3 linked regions of the Schizosaccharomyces pombe genome follow. The gene in region 1 interacts genetically with each later gene. Each region holds a gene or a part of one and is shown in the gene's direction. Other genes may lie near its edges.

Region 1 (8,033 bases):
TTTTTTGGTATTAAATGATATTTGTTTACCAACTAATCTAGTTGCTTTTGGAAATCTTTCATTCTTCATAAAAAAGTGGTGATGAGCGCTAACATGTGTTAGATTTATTGTTCCTTGGCTTCGAAAACATGGTACTAATCCTATTAATGGACAAAAGGCATCAATGTCAGATTTAATAAAGCTCAAGTTTGCAAAAAACAGTGCTGAAGAGTATTGTGATCCAGTTACGATGAAAAGCTTTACGCGCTTTTCACACATCGTGGCTATCCGTTCTACAGGGAATTGTTTTTCTTGGGATACTATTGAACGTTTGAACATAAAACCAAAACATTGGAGGGATCTCGTGAACGAAGAGCAATTTACCAGAGACGACATAATTACCATCCAGGATCCTCATAACGTTGAGAACCGAGATTTTTCGGCCATTCAAAAACAAAAGGAAACCGCAAGAGATGAAAAAATAACCAAGGCCAAAATTGCTTTACAAGCATCTCGCGCCAAGTCAACGGAGTCAACTTCATCACCTGAGTTATCGCATTCTCTCGATTCATCTAAATCTATAGCTTCTGATATGCCAATTCATCGCGCATCCCATACAACTGGTTATGCTGCAGCTTCCTTAACCTCCACATCATTTACTCCTGTAACGAAGAATGAAAGAGCAATTATTGCTGAAGAAGATTATATGCTTAACCATACGCGGATCAAGCACAAAGGATACGCGCGTATTGTTACTAATCACGGAGAAATTAATATTGAGTTGCATACAGACTATGCACCCCATGCTGTTTACAATTTTGTCCAGCTTGCCAAGCAGGGCTATTATCGTAATACAATTTTTCATCGCAATATTGCTAGATTTATGATTCAAGGAGGTGATCCTAGTGGAACTGGAAGAGGTGGTCAAAGTATTTGGGGCAAGCCGTTTAAGGACGAGTTTTGTAACCCTTTAAAGCATGACGATCGTGGAATTATATCTATGGCCAATCGTGGAAAAAATACCAATGGAAGTCAATTGTAAGTGTTTTCTTCTCTATTTTTTAAAAGCTTCAAAGAAATGCAAGTGCTAACCTGATTTATAGCTTTATATTGTATGGACCAGCGAAACATTTGGACAATAAACATACAATATTTGGTCGAGTTGTCGGTGGTTTAAATGTTTTGGATGCTCTTGAAAAAGTCCCTACCAACAGTAATGATCACCCCAAGTTACCAATCAAGCTTGAAGACATCATAATATTTGTAGACCCATTCGAAGAGTGGAAAAAAGATGAGCGGGAGAAGGAGAAACGAAAAAGACAAGAAGAAGAAGAGGAAAATAATTTAGACCGCACTTCTTGGACTGGGAGGGATTTATCGGCGTCTTCTACGGATCATTCTCTAAATGCGTCTGTTGGAAAATATCTAAAAAAGGAAGTATCACTTGAAGAAAAGACATTCACTTCTACTGTAAATCCCAAAAAGAAAAAAGCACGCACAGGATTTGGAAATTTTGACGCATGGTAAACTTACTAAGTCAAACGAAATATATACCAAACAACTTAATATACGGGACTTGTTAAATTATTTCTGAGTTTATAAGGTTTTTTAATATCATATCATTTATTGAACATTTTGTTGTACAGTAAGAAGCTTCGCAGGCAGCAAATATTGAACCTTTGCCTCTTAAAACAAACTGCTATCGAAAGTGTGGCATCCAAAATTGAAAGGAGAGAATTGCAAATTTGTGAAAAAGTAAAGGAAGTTTATTTTAAGGCATCTTCAAGTGAAGGGAAATGGTATTGGTATATGTAAGCGTCGACGTATCCCTCATGACCCTTAAGTCTACCAGCATCTTTGATAATACCGGCTCGTGTGAAATTTAGTCTTTCCCATAGTCGAATGCTCTTTATGTTGGTAGCGAAAACGAGATTAAACACGCTTGATTTGAAACCAATTCGAGGAGCAAAGTACAAATAGGCATTGGCCAAATTACGCCCAATGCCTTTGCTCCGGTGACTAGGTGAAACCAAAAATCCACCATTACAAATATGAGAGCATCGACCGGGATAGTTAGGCTTAATGTAGAAGGCACCGAGTAAGCTCGTTTTCCAGTCAATTGAAGCCGTAGCCAAATCTGGAGCAGGTGATGTCTCACTCTCAACAGGAACACAGATTACAGTACAAAATTTAAAAAAAAAGTCTTCCGCTTCATTGCGAGTCATTTTAATGTCGATTGGATAAGTCTGTCCCATCTCTATTTCATAGTTGATGAAATAAGTCAAGGTACTGAGTAATTCTTCTTTGTTCTTAACGTTTGTAGATTTATCAACGGCTATGCACCAAGCATTAAAATCAGTACATCTCCATGGAGGAATAGTATTTGGATCCTTCATGTTGGGATATGGATTATGAACAAAATTAAAGGGATTTTATAGCCATGTGGAGTAGATAATTTAAGCGACAAACACATAGATAAATTATCATCACTCAAACTCATCAAGATGCCATCTTGATATACAACAGGAAACAACTGTATGATATACAGAAATAATGTGATAAAATCATCAAGTCGAAGAGATAAATCAAATGATTAAAAATATGCAAGGAAGAAATCTGTTGCAAGTAATTCCTAGAGTACGGTAAAAAGCGTTATTTGTTAGAAGCAAATAATTAAGTATTTTAGAATATGAAAGCGAGACGAAGTAATAAAGCTCTCATTATTCATGTATTAGATGATTTTCGATTTTCTGTATGCTTGGTTAATGCTTGTACATATTCATGTCTGTGTATTTTCGGTTTGCGAAACATTAGATCGACTTCTACATCAAGCTAATGGAAACGGTTTAATATTTCGGTGCTATAGATTAAGTCTTTCTTCCTTGTTAACGAATGAAGAATCCGATATTAATTGTCTTTTCTTTATTCACTCATTGCAATTTCTCATATTCTTTTATTGTTTATTAAATAGTGAAGAATACATGTGAGATGATAATAAAAATAATGAAGTACAGTATAAAGTGAAGATGCGAAATTTTTAGGTTAGTGGTATTGGAAAATAATTAATTATACAAATTCCAAAAAAACACAATTCAATTAATATATTTATATTAAGTGCAGTACCTGAACCTCCTGTTTTAATAATAAAACGAATTAAAATGCAGTTACTTTGGAATTGACTATATTTTTGCTAGAGTTTTTTAATTATTTAAAATCTTTAAAATTTATTTTACCAATTTTACGTTCGCACAAGGATAAAATATTTACATTTCTAAAATAATTTAAAAATTTTCACTTTTAATCAAATGATTCATTTCCATCAACCAAATTAAAATTGTTCGCCTCATTTTTGGTTCTTTTAAATTCACCGATGCTTTTTCGTCTTTTGTATCCACGTCTCTCACAATTCATTTGCAAGTCAATTTTCTTTAGTATTGTTTCTTTTTTTTAAAATATTTTTCTTTTTATTTTCTCAATTGTGTCTGTCTTTCTTCGCAAGTCCACTAACCTTTATTTACATCAAAATCGGCCATGTATTAAATTTCACTAACTCTCGTTATTCTGTTTATCGATATAATTACAGCCTCCTTGTCGATGACATCATGCATCGAGCATTGATCATCCTATATAATCATCTCTTTGACCACTTCCGTCTATGGTCCATTGTAGCTTATACCATTGTAAAAGGGTAAAATCCTTTCATTCTACAGAGTTGTTAAAATTTGATTTTTAAATACTAAATTTTCTTAATTTATTCGGTTTTCACAGTGGATTCGCTTTTTCTGGGTCATTAAACAGTTAATTTGGTAGTTTGGTGAGACATCCTTGCAAATCAAGTGTTTGTATAACTTTTCAGAGAGTATAACATATCAACGTATTTATTGAAGTCGTTTGGGATCTCCTTTGTTAGTTAATTTTGGGTCAACGTGTGCGCTGTACATTTGACGTGTGTCGTGAGATTACAAAAAATTTTAGGGGTCGGTTTACTTACGAATTAATTCCCCCACGTGTGTGTTTTTAATCTTAGAAGACTAGCGCTTCTATAGAATTGACGTTTCTTGACGTCTTGTCATTCTTCTGTATTCCTTTAGAAACTGGCTATCTCCGTCTAATTTGCTTCCTCCTGATTTCGCGCGTGTGTCGTGCTAATTCTTTACTGCGTGTTGTATTCACCAAGTAGGAGTTTCCTTTAAATTAAAATATATCCTTTAGGGTATTTCTTTTTTCGTTCTTACTTTTTTTTTCATTTCAATTTCCCATCTCCCCCTTTGTTTCCTTTGTTATATTTTTGTTTGTGATCATCTGATTCCCCCTTTTCTATACATTGATTATTTAAGATGACTGCCAAAAAAAAAGAAGTTGATGATGAAAAGCGTCGCCGAATTCTGGAGCGCAATCGCATTGCCGCTTCTAAATTTCGCCAGAAAAAGAAAGAGTGGATTAAAGAATTAGAGCAAACTGCCAATGCTGCCTTTGAGCAATCCAAGCGTCTTCAGTTATTGCTGTCTCAGTTGCAACAGGAGGCTTTTCGGCTGAAAAGCCAATTACTTGCCCATCAGGGTTGTCAGTGTAGTGTAAAGATTCGTTCTGTCCTAACAGACTTTCAAACTGCTCACAATGCTCTCCACTCTCAACATATGGCTTACCGGCCGGTACAACCCCCTCCTGGTGATAACATGCTTGAATCTGTGGTTTCCGTTAGCCCTACTCAAATGCATCCATCATTGCAGGGTCTCCCTCCAAATCAACACCCTCAAATGCCCCCTTCTTCTCAGCAGCCTAATTCCGATGATGTCCAGCAACATATGTTCTCAGCAGCCGGGCTTCCTAGATCCCTTGGTGGGCCCATCTGAAAAAGAACATTTGTTTTCATTACCCCCCTTTACAATAAAGCAATTGATTTTAATGTGATGTTGCATGTAGATTTATGGCTCCTATTTTAGCCTAATGTTCTCTCCTAGATGACAGTCGGGCGTTTTTAAGTGTTGAATTACCGATGCATATGGAATTCTTTTCAAATTTCTGTCCTTATTATTTTTTTGCACAGACGTTTTCTTTGTTATGACCTTTATCTATTATTATTTCGAATTTCCTCGCCGGGTTTTCAAAATATTTGTCTTTATGAAATGTGAAAAGAAAATAACTTTACGATGCTTATAAACTTCTTTGAAGTATGACTTTGCGCTTGCTACATCTCCACTTACTTCTTCGATGTATTTGATTTGATTTCTTGAACTATTGCCAGATTGCCTATTCTCGTCAGTTACCTAAAACATAAAAAATGTTCTTCTTTCTAAATGTACAGATTTATAATTTCATTTGGCAAACTGAAAAAAAGATCTTAAGCTATTAATTTGGTTTTTTTTTTTAAAAAGCTCTGGTTGGAGCAACTGTGGTATGCTGTTGATTTTATTTGTAAACAGTAGAATGTCTCTTTTTTTCTTTCAGTTATTTATACCACAATCCGTGTATCATGATGCAAAAGAAGTGTCTGCGTTAAAGCATCACTTTCTTTAATTTCCCAACTGCATTCATTATGTAAATAAATAAATATTCACGTTATTACAATTTATCTCATTTATCCAATCTGTTCCATTTCTACTGCTCTCAACAGTATAGCACTCCTAAGAATTTAGGGAGGTACGGTAAATTACATGCATCTCGTTATTCACATGATTTCGCACCAATTTTTTTTCTCGTTAGGCTTTCCATTAACGAAATGCATAATACTTAAGTCAAAAAATTTTGGATGACCGAAAACAGTCACATTTTACAACAATTCACCACTTGAATTTGCAACCTCAATACCGTATTCTCCAACAACCAAAACACCAGAAATGGGTCGTGTTATTAGAGCACAAAGAAAGAGTGGAGGAATTTTCCAGGCTCATACCCGCCTCCGTAAGGGTGCCGCTCAGCTCCGTACCTTGGACTTTGCTGAACGTCACGGATACATTCGTGGTGTTGTTCAAAAGATCATTCACGACCCTGGTCGCGGTGCTCCTTTGGCCAAGGTTGCTTTCCGTAACCCTTATCACTACAGAACCGATGTTGAGACCTTCGTCGCTACCGAGGGTATGTACACTGGCCAATTCGTCTACTGCGGTAAGAACGCTGCTTTGACCGTTGGTAATGTCTTGCCTGTTGGTGAGATGCCTGAGGGTACTATCATCTCCAACGTTGAGGAGAAGGCTGGTGACCGTGGTGCATTAGGTCGTTCTTCTGGTAACTACGTTATCATTGTCGGACATGATGTTGACACTGGCAAGACCCGTGTTAAGTTGCCCTCTGGCGCCAAAAAGGTTGTCCCCTCTTCTGCTCGTGGTGTTGTCGGTATTGTCGCTGGTGGTGGACGTATTGACAAGCCTTTGCTCAAGGCTGGTCGTGCTTTCCACAAATACCGTGTTAAGCGCAACTGCTGGCCTCGTACTCGTGGTGTTGCTATGAACCCCGTCGATCATCCTCACGGTGGTGGTAACCATCAACACGTTGGTCACTCTACCACTGTTCCTCGCCAATCCGCTCCTGGTCAAAAGGTTGGTCTCATTGCCGCTCGCAGAACTGGTCTCTTGCGTGGTGCTGCTGCTGTCGAAAATTAGACCTCCTCAATCAAAATATATATTTTCTGGCAGTAAACAGTGTGAAAATGTGTTGATAGTCTTTAGTAGTGAGTAGATTTGCTTCGTTGTAGTCTTGGTAGGTATGGTGTATGCGTAACCCAAGAGCATATTAAGCTTGTAAACCCACATGTAAACATCCAATTTAATTGTCAAAGAGTTTCTCAATGTACTATGCTATTAATAACGATCAAATTTTCAAAACTTGATTAACTGTTTTGTGTAGTGCACTTAAATCCGGCTTTTTAGCAGCCAAGAGTACTAGAATACTTGCCGGCGATTGTTCATAATTTCATGGCATTAGTACCGTGGGCTAGTTTCGTAATGCATTTAACTCATGACTTTTAAGTTTATAAACTATCAGTTGTTACGGATACTTTAGTATGTTAATTTCGGCATTCTGCTACAATCATTGAAAATTGGAAATCTGTACACTTCCTCGATGTATGACAATGCACAACTAACAAAAATTCATTTCATTTCTTCCAGCATAAATGAAGGTAACTATAAACATGCACAATTTTAAAACCATATACGAGAAAGACTAAATCTACTTGGGCATAGGAGGGGTATCCATGAAAATCTTGGATCCAGCACCAGGAGGATATCTAGCACCAATTACCTCAGCGTTGTCACAAGCTTCACGAATTTCCTTAACAGTGGCATCGGATAATTTAACCTTGAGAGCGCCAAAGTTCTCCTCCAAGTATTTAACACGTTTGGTACCAGGAATGGGAAGAATATCGTCACCTTGGGCTAACAACCAAGCCAAACTAAGCTGGCCAGGTGTGATATTGTTGGCAGTGGCAATTTTTTCAATCTTTGTAACAAGCTCCAAGTTCTTGTAGAAGTTTTCCTTTTGATAACGAGGGGCCTTTCTGCGGAAATCGCCCTCAGGGAAATCATCAGGGGATTTGTATGCACCAGTCAAGAAACCACGGCCAAGAGGGGCATAGCAAACAATGGTGATATTGTTTTCGCGGCAAGCCTTCATGACACCAATTTCAGGGCGCTCAATCTCCAAAGAGAAGGGAGAATACTCAACTTGAACGGCACTGACCGGATAAACAGCGGCTGCACGACGAATGGTGTTAGCACTGCATTCAGAAAGACCAATGTAACGAATCTTTCCAGCTTCAACGCACTTCTTAAGGGCGCCCATGATCTTTTCAATAGGAGTCTCACCGCTGAAGCGATGGACGTAGTAAAGATCAATGCAATCAATACCCAAACGCTTCAAAGAAAGATCAAGTGCCTTTTCAATGTAATCAGGCTCGTTGTTCAAAGAGAGCTCGCCAGTCTCGGGATTCTTCTCATAGCCAAACTTGGTAGCCAAGAAAATCTCCTTACGGCGTCCAGTTTGCTTGAACCAACGACCAATGCACTCCTCATTGGCACCAAATCCGTACATGTCAGAGCTGTCCCAAAAGGTGCAAC
Region 2 (6,293 bases), on another chromosome or scaffold:
CTTACTGAATGGTTCAAAATGTACCGTACTACGGTAGCCATATTAATTGGTTCGTCAAAATAAATCCTAAAGTGTATAGCAACGGTTTTTTCAAAGCTCACCTACTTTTTACTGATCGTCATTATAATTAGTAAAACAATAAACACCTACTAGTAGAATCGCCGATTTACCATAATTTCGTATTGCGCTTAATTCTCTTCCCGAGGTATTTTGTTATTGCGATGGCTTGCCACAATAAATTAACTATTGTACGATTGCCGTCACACTATTTCTATCTAAAAATACTCTCATTCCCATTCCCATTTTTATCTCTCCATCCATACTTACTACATATGTTGGATATCTATATCTGTCAAACTTTAACTTCGTTGAACATGCTAATTAACCAAAATTAATACATGAATTTATTAAATAGTTTTTTATTAATTAATAGAAATTTTCAAAAAGTAATCATTGAAAAATCGAACTATATTTTTTTTTTTTATATTATAGCAGTATATAGGTGCAGGAGTTACCAGCGACCAGGTATTAGCGTTTGCCAAAACAATTAGCTTTTCTCCCGAAAGGATTGCTTTTTGAAGTCAATTACTTTAGAAGCTTTCTAGCATCTATTTGATTGTTCAATTGGCATGGTTATTGTGCTCATCATATAAAGCGCAGTTGTTTCATTAATTAAGTATCTTAGCCTACATACTTCATCTTGATTTTTATAGATTCTTTAGAGTATTTGGATAAATACTTGACTTTTTGTTTAAGAGGCTATAGAAACCCTTGTTTGAGTTTCTTCATTTTTATTGTCTCGCGCTTTAGTGTATCTGCTTCAAAGTGGTTCAAGCTAAAAAAGCATAGTACTGTTTCGCTCTTTATTTCGCATCTGCCTATCATCAGACAATTCTGTTGACTCACTCGTTTTTTACACGCACATTTACCCTTGGAATAAAAGGCGGATTAAATCCCGAAGTTGAACACTCGTAAAATTTGGTTATTATATTTTTTGCATTATGAAGACTTATGAATATGTATTGCTGGTCATTATTTTGATCCTTAGCTTGTGTTACTTTATTTATAACAATTTTCTCAACAAGCCAAAGGCTCCTGAGAGGCGAGTCGTGGCTACCGACAGTATTGTCGAGTTGATGGAGGCCGAAAAGCTCACTGCCGCGGTTTTCTTTGGATCTCAAACTGGTACCGCTGAGGACTTTGCCTACCGTTTTTCAACGGAAGCAAAGGCAAACTTCAATCTTACCAATATGGTTTTCGATCTTGAGAACTATGATTTAACCGACTTGGACAACTTTGATAGATCAAAACTATTGGTATTCTTTCTCGCAACTTACGGTGAAGGTGAACCTACGGACAATGCGGAGGCCTTTTTGCAACTTCTTGAGGGCGATGATACCGTTTTTTCAAGTGGAAAAGGCATTGAAGATACTCCCTTCGAAGGAATTCGTTATGCAATTTTTGGCCTTGGAAATCATACCTATGAGTATTATAACGCAATGGCTAAAAAGGTAGATGCTGCAATGACTCGTTTAGGCGCTACTCGTGTGGGCAATCTAGGTTTGGGCGACGATGCCGCTGGTATGCTTGAAGAGGACTATTTACAATGGAAGGATGATACTTTACCTGAGATAGGTAAGCTGTTCCATTTGCAAGAAGTCCACAAGGAATACAATCCTATGTTTGAAGTTATTGAGAAGCCTGAAATTTCCAACACTAGTTCTACTGTCTTTTTGGGAGAACCAAGTCGTCAGCAATTGAAAGGAAATGTTGCATCGAAAGCTCCACGTTCTCAAGCTAATCCATTTTTCTCTTCTCCTGTCAGATCTCTTGAGCTATTCAAATCTGGAAGTCGTAATTGCTTACATTTAGAGTTGGATATCGCAGACTCTGGTATGCGATATCAAACAGGTGATTACGCTTCTATTTGTCCTATGAATCCTAGTCAAGCTGTTGATGATCTTCTCGAAGTTCTCGGTCTCAAAGAGAAGAGGGATACTGTAATAATTGTTAAACCTATCGATACTCTCGATAAGGCTCCTGTTTTAAGTCCTACTACCTATGACACTGTTTTTCGCTACTACTATGAAATATGTGGTATCGTCTCCAGGCAACTGCTTTCTTTTATTGCTCCTTTCGCTCCTACACCAGAATCTAAGCAAGAACTCGAGAAATTAGGCAACGATTATGACTACTTTAAGAAGAACGTTGTAGACTTGCACCTAAACCTTGCTCAAGTCCTTCGTCGTGTTTCTCCTGACGCTCCATTTACAAAACTTCCATTCTCAATGCTATTGGAAAATATGGCACACATGAAACCGCGTTACTATTCGATTTCCTCGAGCAGTGTAGTGCATCCTGACAAAGTTCACGTTACAGCGGTAGTTGACAAGAAAGAATGGACTGATAAGAATCATATCTTTTATGGACTAACTACTAATTATTTGTTGGCACATTGTCGTCATATGCACGGTGAAAAAATTCCACATCCAAATGGTTTGGAATATACCCTTGAGGGTCCTCGTAAAAACTGGACCGGAAAAATTCCGATGTTTGTAAAGAAATCTACTTTTCGATTGGCTCCTCCCGATGTCCCCATAATAATGGTAGGCCCGGGTACTGGTGTAGCCCCATTCCGCGGTTTTGTGATGGAACGGGCTAATTTAGCTTCTAAAGGAGTTAAAGTAGCAAAAACACTTTTATTTTATGGTTGCCAATATTCTGACAAGGATTTTTTATATAAGGAAGAATGGCAACAATACAAAGATGTCTTGAAAGACTCTTTTGAACTGATTACCGCATTTTCCCGTGAGCAAGATCATAAAATCTATGTTCAGCACCGTCTTTTAGAGCACAGTGATACCATTGCTAAACTTGTAGAAGAAGGGGCTGCTTTTTATATCTGCGGTGATGCTGATCATATGGCTAAAGATGTTGTGAATGCATTGGCTTCTATTCTGACCACTGTTGATGTTGACGGTATGAAAGCCGTTAAAGCTCTTCGAGATGACAATAGATTTTTTGAAGATACCTGGTAAGTTTGGAATTTATCCAGACTTTGCGATTACTTCAAGACTTAATGATGCCTTTTCATCTTAGAAATAGTTTAATACAATCATTATTCCACTCGGTATTTTTATCTATAGAAAACATAGTTTTTGTAGCAACTAACGAACAGTACTCTGTAACGTTATAATATCAAAAATAAACTGCCAACTTGAATTTCTTACTGCTCAAAAATGTCTACCGAAAATGCGAATCTACACAAAGTGCTGTGTTTGTCATGATTGAAAAACCTAAACCGACTTAAAGCTGGGTAACAAAGTAAACACTGGCAGTCGACTTCATTGCACTTCAATAATTAAGGCGATTGCGAATGTTTGATCAATTTACATACAATAGAAAGTATTTGATAATTCTTTTTTTGCTTTAAAAATACACGCATCAAGTTAGAGTACAGGATGCTATAAGTTAAATCCTCGGTCAATGTGTACTTGTCAACGCAAAACATTGAGTAATATGCGGAAAAGTTAAGTTTCCAAAAGTACAAGCATAATTAATACATGTATCCTAACTGTATAATAAAACTGAGCCTTTAAGTGTATTTTTTTTCTACGTTATCAAATCTAATGCAACACAATGCTATCCTTGATTTGTTTATTAACAGATTTCGCGCGCTCAAAAACTTACCTTTAACATATATTCAAACATTAAAGTATACATAATTTAAAAATTATTTACTTAAAGCATATAAGAGCGATGAATGGAATAATTACGCCTCAAAAACAAAAACAATTAATGTCTTCTCCTTCTCGTGATCCATTATCCACTACCGAATTGTCTACTCCAACAAGTCAAACAACTGTGGATGTCAATGACACGAAAAAAAGTGAAGGATTGGACTCTACAATTATACTATTAACACCAGGAACAAGCCCAAACGCAACGCCTGGTTCTAGCGAGTTAGGGCTTTCCAAGAAGCCAAACAGGTAAAGGGCTATTACAGATGTGTAATGTAATACTAACTAGGAATATAGTATAAAAAACAATACTTATTCTACAGCAGCACAGGCCGCGTATTTAAATAGGCGTGCTGCTGATCAATCAACCGTTATGACAACCGATCCTATTTCATATGCAAATAACAATATTAATAATGGAACACTGCCACAACAAAACGCCTACTATGCCAACTCTTATTATCCGTCATACTATGCACAGTCACAAGCCATTTCCAACAATCGACCGGGTGTCTCTGGATTCCGTCCTGCATTCAATTCTGTAGCTCCTTGCTATGGTTCACAATGGCAGACTCATCAGTCTGTTCACCCTTATCATGTTAACAATACTCATCAGTATTTAAAACCATATGTTCAGAATGGTATGATACACAGCTTATGAAAAAACTAATACTTACCAAACTTTTCGTCTTTTAGTATATCCTCAAATGCCCTCTTTAAATCAGCCGGGACTTCATATTGTCAATCAACCAACATATCTCGCGCCAGTTCCTTCAGCGACTGTGCCTACGAATTCAGTTTCTCTCTCGATGCCTTCTTTTTCCCAAGGGCAAAAAAATATTCCCGCTGCCATTAATCAAGAAATGAGTGTCGGTACAACAAAGGAGAATACAAATTACCTTTCTCAACTGGTTGGATTGCATCCTGCAATTCCTCCTGCCATTCCCAGCATGTTTCCCATGTCTCATGATAATAAAAAAAGTAACATGGAAAGCACTTCTCGTACTCGGAATGTTTACATTCGTGGTTTACCTCCCAACACTTCGGATGAAAATTTGTTGCTTTACACCAATCGTTTTGGTAAAGTTAGTAGCAGCAAAGCAATAATTGATATGGAAACGAATTTATGTAAAGGATATGGGTTTGCATGCTTTGAAGAAGAGAAATCTGCATTGATTTGCATTTCAGCCATGACTTTATGTGGATATCAGTGTTCATTTGCAAAAGAAAGTTTCAGTGCACGTCTTCAAAGTCTACAAGACACAGAAAGCACCAATCTGTATATTTCTAATCTTCCTCTTCATTGGAATGAAAGTGATATTTCCACATTGTTTAAACCCAGCAAAATCATATCAAACCGCGTACTTCGTGACTCTAAGGAACAATCTCGAGGTGTTGGGTTTGCTCGTATGCAAGATCGTAAAACGGCTGAAGACATAATTAATAAATTTAATAACTTTGTCTTGGATCCTGCTTTACCCCCATTACAAATCCGTTTTGCTGATTCCACTGATCAGAAGAAGTTTAAAGGTCAGACTCAGAAAAGAAGATTATGGCGTGCTCGTGAATACAGTGTTTTAACTAAGGGAATGACAGCTAATAATGCTTTTTCCAAAGTTGAGGAGTTCGCAAATAACTCTATGCCCTCTAAAGTTGGAATGTATGTGCCATTGGAGTCGAACACAGTCTATCAACATTCACCCACTTATGATACTTACGGTTGGCAAAGTATGTATCCCTCTTATTCCGTTTATCCCTCAAACTATGAAAACAGCAGAAGTACTACGCCATATCATGCCCATCCCGCTACTTCTGCTGCTAATTAAATTTAAACATCTTTCCAGCATTTACTTGAACATCAAACTCTAATATCGAAATCTTTTCAAACACTTATCACATACTCAAACTTAAACCAACATAAAACCTGTTAGACAAAGCTTACAATTAAGGGCCAAAGCTTTCTTTCTATGTTTTTTCTTTTATTTATTATCAGGTTATATAACAAAGGTCAAACCACTACAGTATTAATGAATGATATTATACATATTTGCTTAATCGTATAAAAAGAGAGAGGTATAAATAGTCCTTGAGTGTTCAAGATAATTGCACACTGTGAATTAAGAGGATAAAAGGGATGCAAAATTCTCCTTGATTATCCAACCATCAGATACTGATTTTCCTTTACGCACAGCGACTTTTCCAAGAGTTTCGCTGATAATATTTTTGGTTACGTAAGGAAACATGTGCCTCAAATTCTCGATCAGGAATACTTTGTTGTCATGAGAGTTACGGACATATTCTATAAATTTGGGTATATCTTCAGAAGGAAACCTTACTTGTAAATCATCAGAAAGTGAACTGGTAGGTCCAATTGTCATTCCACTAGACGCTGGAGCAGTATCTTGAGAAGCCCATAAATCCTCTTTAGGATCAATTTGGAGATATGTAGATGCTGAAAATGAACTAATGGGTTCAATTAAAGATAAGCAATTAAAGTCAGGAAGAAACTTTGAATCCCAAACCGGACCTTCTACGATTACCTCTAATGGGCCG
Region 3 (6,961 bases), 4.0 Mb from region 1:
TTGCGGTCGTTGACATTTTTATAGCAACCTCTCTTCTATTTGTGATAACTTTAAAAAAAAGTTGCACAAATATCGATATCGCCTTGGAATTACACCGAGTTAGGATATCCGATTTGCGTTGTTGGAGAAGGGCAGGGAACAATAGTAGGACCATTCACTCATATGCAGTATTTCATTATTAATGGGGCGCACCCAACACGTTAAAATAATAAAGTGCACGCTCAGTTACCTTATAACTAGACCAACCTTTTAGTAATGTTCAGCATTTGCAATGCAAGTCTGCTTTAGTATTAATGAACTACTACTTCATTTAAATTATAGTTAAAGATAAGGAAAGTTGATATTTTTCATTCAACCATTAATCATAATCAAGGTCCGTGCATTTGTTAACGGTAAACTGTTGAACATGTGAAAATTATATATATTTACTTTAAGCCTTTGTTCTCATTGGGTTTAAAAAAGCAACTAAAATACATTAGGAAGAAAAAATGAAAGAGCAACAGGATGTAAGAAATAAATTTACATTTTCACTAGCTTAACAATGAGAAAACACAAACAGCCAATTTTTTACGCGTCTGCTACGTGATTGAAATGGTAGTTAGAAATGTATCTGAACTCTTCACCATTAGATATTTACATTGTGCATAAATTTAATTATCCAGAAAAAAATCAGCTTAATACTCTTATTAATTCACTGACTTAAAAATTACTAAGTTTTGTTTGGAGTATTTAAAAATTGCTGCACAAGTTAATCGACAAAGTAAATATAAAAATTCAACTTACCGGTAAATATGTTGACACAAGAGCCGCGATACCCATACTGATCAAATGTTAACATCCATAGAACTACATTAATGCAATGAATTAGGATTACTTACAAAGCCATTGAAGTCGGAGATGAGCTGGGAGACGTATTTGCGTTCAGTAAATTTGAAAAGGTTAGGATAAAAGCAACCCATGCAATTAATCTTCTCGTTAACATGAAAATCCTAAAATATCTTACATACTTGAAACGAAGAAATAAAGCAGCCATACACGTGGCTGTGCTTACCAAACTCAAGCCAACTATAATAGGGTTAGCAAACTTAATAAATTATTTGACGAAAGAAAGGATTTAAAATATTCCACAATGAACTAAAGCTTGAGCGATTAAATCAGCGTAACTCACGATTGGGTTCAATTTGAAAGTGCTTTCTACTTTACCTTCTTCATTTGCTTTGACTCTAGCTTTGTAGGGAACGATTAAATCAGGTCGTTTAAGTTCTGCAGGCGCCATATTTTATGAATTTTCGTTGTCGAGACTTCAGAACTGGTGAATGGGATGGTTCCTCTACAAGAATATAATGAAGTTAGTAATAAAATGTGTAAAATGGTTTTAGGTTAGGTTATTTAGCATTCAAATATATCGTGGGGGTTAAGAGTTCTTATCCCACTAAGAATTTCAACTATTTTAGACTTGGCTAAGCATTAGAATTAAAATCGATTGCAGTACCACGTGGGGGCTTTAGCAAGTCATAGGAGGAAACTGATCCTACTTGGCGAGTGAGAAATGGATTTCTTTTAGCATTCTAAGTCTTCTATATAACAATTTAAAGCTCAAACATAATATAATATTATTTATACTATTTTAAAAATTTAGGAACCAAGCCAGGTGAACTTAAGAAGTTCAAAGAGCATTTAATCGTTAGATGAAATAATAAAAAAAAAAATTACACTCGTTCACTCGTTTTCAATTTTACGAATAGGTTTGGCAGGTGATCCTACAGCCAACGTATTAGGTGGGATGTCTTTTGTAACAACAGCACCCGCTCCAATTACACTGCCTTCCCCGATAGTAACACCTGGGAGAACTATAACTCCCATACCAATCCAAACATTGTCCTGAATCTTGATAAAATTTTGTTTGTTAGTTGTAAGATGTTTCAATAACTGGACTAACGCATACGTTAATTGGTAAACCAAATTCAATTCCGGAGTTCCTTGCTTTAAAATCCAAGGGATGTGTTGCTGTACATAGTTGAACCTGGAAAGACACCATTAGTATATTTATTTTTTGAATGAATGACTTGAAAGTAACTATATATATATATAAACATACATTGGGGCCTAGCATTACATTATTACCAATAGTAATTATGGCAACATCTAGAAATGTACAATTATAATTTGCAAAGAATTTTTTTCCAAAATGAACGTTAAATCCGTAATCAAAAGCCATAGGTGGCTCAATCTCTGGTGCTGAAGATTCGTCAAATACAAAAACTTCAGCCAACAGTTCAGCTCGTCTTTTAATCAATTCTGCTGGGCCTACATTTTCCAAATCTCCCATAGTGTCATTAAACCTTCGCATTAATTTTTTAGCATTACATCTCGCTTGAGTCAACTCCTCGTCGTAAGCCTTGTACCTGTTATTTAGTAATTAGAATATCTCCCTGCGTTCAATGTGACTTCAAACATGTCAACGAAGATGATATATTAGCTCGACAAGTTTTAAGCATTAGCCTTACGGTTGACCAGATATCATTTTTTGGTATTCAATGGTTTTCGGTATCATTTTTTGTACACGAGTACGAGTCATTTCTGTCGGAAAACAAGTATATTCACTAGCATTGACAATGGGACTAGTAGAGTTATCGATGTATAAATAGACTTATATATATATATATATATGTATTGATATCAATATTAACAAATTGCTGATAAAACTATACGGAAACTTTTTAGTGAAATAGTTTGTAAAACGTAAGTAAAAACATCTCGATGATATATAGCGTCAGCTGTTACACTACATTATGCCCCACTATGCAACATATCATTAATTGTCGCATTGCTTTATGTCTGGCCCCTACTCGTATTACCACCAGCATACCAAAATTTATCAAGTTACAAGTAAATAGTTAGTGTAGCTTAACAAACGCTGAGGGCCGTAAACTGACAAGCAATAACAAGATATGCAATGAACGTTGTCCGTCCCTTTTTTAATCTTGCTTTCCTCCTGTATCATTAAACTGATTAAACTGGGTAGTAATCCCAAACTAATGTCATATAAAAAAAAAATTCAAAACAACTTAAATAGTACATCAAACAAAAATTGATAAGTAAATAAGCAATAAATATGATTTAAAAATAAATCCAAAGTGTATTTATTAATCGCCCTTGAAGTGTAAATGGCATATCGTGTCAGATTAAATGCTCAATTTCTGACGGCTTCGGTTTGCTGCGCTTAAACATTTTGCTTTAGTGTTAATAAATTTCAACTATGGGATTTTTTCATCCTTCTTCATGATAACTAGATTATATGAAAAAAGCATCTTTAAGACAACCAACAATGTTTTAATATCAGTAAAGTGCGTCAAATTTCGCATCATTAAACAAATAATGTCACTTATGATTAACTGAGTCATTAGCAAATGAAATGTGAATTTACGGGTTAAATACTATCATAACTTTTAATTAATACTTATCAAGATAAAACTCACTGTAATAATGTCTTACAAAGGTCGGTAAACAATCTAATTAAACAAGGATCAGATAATAAATTGATTAAACACAAATTTTAATTTTTTTATATTGATATATAAAAACGGTTAACAAATTTTTCCATCAATAAAAAAAAAATGAATTACACTACGTTTCAAAGTTATAACTATTTTTTTATAACAAACATCAACTGAAAAGCAAGAAAATCTATATTCAAAAAAATAATATAAACGCTACAAAAAATCAAACAGTAAAGGGTTTCGAATTGCTTTTCTCTATAATTCAAATGAATTTCAAAATAATTGGGACAAGTTGCCAACACACACGCCATACTAATTTTGTGATACTTGCTCAACCAAAAATATGTAGCACCACATTCTCTATTTAAAGATTAGCGCAGCACAAGGAGCCGCTCGATAAAAGTGCTGCTACAAACGTTCAAGAACACAAGTTTATTCTTGTACCACAATTCAAGTGTTGCTATTGTTGTAAAAGGGCGTATATCAATCGGATTCAGTTTTTGCAATAAGTCTGACTGAAAAAAAAAATGGCGTCAGTGGAGGATGCCACGAAAGTTCAAGAAATGCTGGATGCGTTGAAGGCTGAATACAATGCTTTGGCTCATCATAGCTTCGCGTCCAAGGCGCGCGGAAACGACTATGAATCTTCTAGTACGTGTTTGAATAAAATAAATTAAATTAGCTATTTTTTGGAAACTAACATTCTGTTCTATTGCAGTGATACAATCTCAAATTCAAGAAATTGAAGCGTTCCGAAAAACCGTGGATGATATGTATGAAAAACAAAAATCTATTAGAGAAACGTAAGTTTTTATATGTTAAAGGTATCGAGGGATTATATAGTATCTACTTCTTTTCTGTGAAATTCATCATTATTTTATAATAGCATACGTGTCGCTCGAGATTTATATGCTTGAAGTAAAAAAAAAAAAACCTTTATAACATCTGTCTTCACCAATTTACTAACATTTATAGGTACGAAAAAGATATCAACAAGTTGAAGCGAGAGCTTGAAGAATTAGGTGTCGAAGCGAATACCGCAAGTTATAGAAATCGTGGAGAAAGATCTGAACTTGCCGCTTCTAATAATCAAGTTACCCATATTGATCAGGAACATCCCTCTCAAACCAAATCTACTTCTCAGCCTCCAAGTAACCATCTACCTGCCTTTCAGCAAATCCCTCCAATTCACCAATCAGCTTATCCTCAAAATAATGTTGCTGAAGTATTGATGCCTCCAATTCCTCCTTCAGTAGAGGCTTCTAGCGGGCAAAATTTTAATCAGGGAATTGCTTCTCAAAATCCCGCGATATCTACATCCAATTTACCTAGTACTACACCTTTATATATCCCTCCTGTTAATTACGGAGCAAATCAGGTTTCTCAACAACCAAATCCTCAATTGCCTGGTGTTTCCAATTATTATAATCCAAGTGCTACTTCAAAACCTGCTGTGAATGTCCAGCCACCGCGTATTCCTACCAAAGCAACTCCTTCGGCTGAACCTTCTATGACTGCTTCTGCGAATGCTGGTTCTATATCCCAAGCGGGTCCTGATGGAGAATATCAGGGAAGAGAACAGATTGCTCCAGTTTCAGATACAGAAGCTGCTAGAAAGACAACTTCTCAGAGTTGGTACGTCACTTATAACCCAGCATGCAAAAGGGTTTTTAATATTAATCTCGTGCACACACTAGAGCATCCCAGTGTTGTTTGCTGCGTTAAGTTTAGTAACAATGGCAAGTATTTAGCAACTGGCTGTAACCAGGCCGCTAATGTCTTTGATGTTCAGACTGGCAAAAAACTTTTTACTTTGCATGAAGAATCACCTGATCCTTCCCGTGATTTGTATGTGAGAACCATTGCTTTCAGCCCTGATGGTAAGTATTTAGTCACGGGAACAGAAGATCGTCAAATAAAACTCTGGGATCTCTCAACTCAAAAAGTTCGTTACGTATTTTCAGGTCATGAACAAGATATCTATTCCTTAGATTTTAGCCATAATGGGCGATTCATCGTCTCTGGTAGTGGCGATCGAACTGCACGACTCTGGGATGTGGAGACAGGTCAATGTATTTTAAAGTTAGAAATTGAGAATGGTGTGACGGCAATAGCCATCTCTCCAAATGATCAATTCATTGCAGTTGGTAGTCTAGATCAGATAATTCGAGTATGGTCTGTGTCGGGTACTTTGGTTGAACGATTGGAAGGTCATAAGGAGAGTGTTTATTCTATTGCCTTTTCGCCCGACAGCAGCATTCTTCTTAGTGGAAGTCTTGATAAGACTATCAAAGTCTGGGAATTACAAGCAACTCGTTCAGTTGGCCTTTCAGCTATTAAGCCTGAAGGTATTTGCAAAGCCACCTATACAGGACATACTGATTTTGTTCTTTCAGTAGCTGTTTCACCCGACAGCCGTTGGGGATTAAGCGGATCGAAGGATAGAAGTATGCAATTCTGGGATTTGCAAACAGGCCAATCTTATCTCACTTGTCAAGGACACAAGAATTCAGTTATTTCCGTATGCTTTAGCCCAGATGGTAGGCAATTTGCTTCGGGAAGTGGTGATTTACGTGCTCGCATATGGTCAATTGACCCTGCATCTCCTTGAATTTTTGTTCCTGTTTACATATAACTATTTGCTCTCGGAAATAGTTAACCGCATTGATTTTTGGTTACAAAGTTTACAAACTAAATTTTGTAAACTCTATTACTACACTGGTATATTTCCTTAATTTGTATCATATTTTTTTTGCAATATTATTTCCTTTACTTACGGTCACAATAGACAAATCATCACTCAGTTTTTTAATGTCACTAATTTTGGAGAATGGCTTCTCTCATAAATTAACTGAGACACTTTTTATTTAAAAAATAAACAATTAATAAAAAATTCCTTAATTTTTAATTTTAGTTCTATGATAAATGTTGCATAACTTGAGATAATACTTAATACTTTTCAATGTAGATTCTTGAAATACATGTGGTTGATTAAACATTTTTTAAATGGTTATTCTTGTATTTAGTAATTTGCATATCTCCACCTTGACTCCGAAATTCACCAACAGATTTATCATATACTCGCTAAAATTATGTATGTATTAACCATCTTCTGACTTCTTCAACGCGAAGAAGACTCATTGTTTCGATTTTATTGACTAAAACATAGAAATTGAATAAATCCTAATCGATGCTATATTGAGGTGTGCTTTTACAATCCGTTACAGTTCGATATCTGCACGTTTCTTAAGGCTATCTTTTCAGGAGTTTATAATAATCCTCCACGGCTTAAGCAGTCTATAATTTGGGTTTACTTCATTAAATCTTTAATTTAGCACTTTTTAAATATATTTAAAATCTTAATACTTAAATCGGTGCCAACCCAGGACCTATATTACGTTTGGGTTAAAGAAAAATTGTCGTTGTTTGCTGCATCGATTTATATCTAAGCTATGAAGGCT

Evidence for each region.
Region 2: of pcr1 (region 1) and spo5, changing one suppresses a phenotype caused by changing the other (phenotypic suppression), as found in Schizosaccharomyces pombe (one study listed by BioGRID).
Region 3: of pcr1 (region 1) and tup11, changing one suppresses a phenotype caused by changing the other (phenotypic suppression), as found in Schizosaccharomyces pombe (one study listed by BioGRID).

Annotation. Positions count from the first base shown.
Region 1 is NC_003424.3:4,249,202-4,257,234, reverse strand, and holds pcr1 (DNA-binding transcription factor Pcr1), read left to right. Parts: upstream 1-3,634; 5' UTR 3,635-4,316; coding exon 4,317-4,832; 3' UTR 4,833-5,093; downstream 5,094-8,033. Other genes in the region: cyclophilin family peptidyl-prolyl cis-trans isomerase Cyp8, read left to right, coding at 103-1,017, 1,083-1,506; L-azetidine-2-carboxylic acid acetyltransferase Aca1, read right to left, coding at 1,746-2,375; rpl801 (60S ribosomal protein uL2), read left to right, coding at 5,817-6,578; yak3 (aldose reductase ARK13 family YakC, implicated in cellular detoxification from family members), read right to left, coding at 7,147-8,033. UniProt on the Schizosaccharomyces pombe protein: Involved in regulation of gene expression for sexual development. Binds and activates CRE sites (cAMP-response elements, also known as M26 meiotic recombination hotspots).
Region 2 is NC_003423.3:2,532,462-2,538,754, forward strand, and holds spo5 (meiotic RNA-binding protein 1), read left to right. Parts: upstream 1-3,688; 5' UTR 3,689-3,759; coding exon 3,760-3,989; intron 3,990-4,037; coding exon 4,038-4,381; intron 4,382-4,436; coding exon 4,437-5,566; 3' UTR 5,567-5,793; downstream 5,794-6,293. Other genes in the region: ccr1 (NADPH-cytochrome p450 reductase), read left to right, coding at 1,002-3,038; histone H3-H4 chaperone, CAF assembly factor (CAF-1) complex subunit A Pcf1, read right to left, coding at 5,858-6,293. UniProt on the Schizosaccharomyces pombe protein: RNA-binding protein which plays a role in sporulation. Regulates the progression of meiosis I and may function in the vicinity of the Mei2 dot.
Region 3 is NC_003424.3:298,778-305,738, reverse strand, and holds tup11 (transcriptional corepressor Tup11), read left to right. Parts: upstream 1-3,942; 5' UTR 3,943-4,027; coding exon 4,028-4,151; intron 4,152-4,218; coding exon 4,219-4,303; intron 4,304-4,327; exon of another isoform or gene 4,328-4,475; coding exon 4,476-6,111; 3' UTR 6,112-6,461; downstream 6,462-6,961. Other genes in the region: rhp6 (ubiquitin-conjugating enzyme E2 2), read right to left, coding at 1-16; protein pat10, read right to left, coding at 710-739, 784-820, 879-968, 1,008-1,065, 1,204-1,276; SPOM_SPAC18B11.09C (serine O-acetyltransferase activity), read right to left, coding at 1,720-1,887, 1,946-2,023, 2,099-2,405, 2,508-2,578; SPOM_SPAC18B11.11 (GTPase-activating protein), read left to right, coding at 6,953-6,961.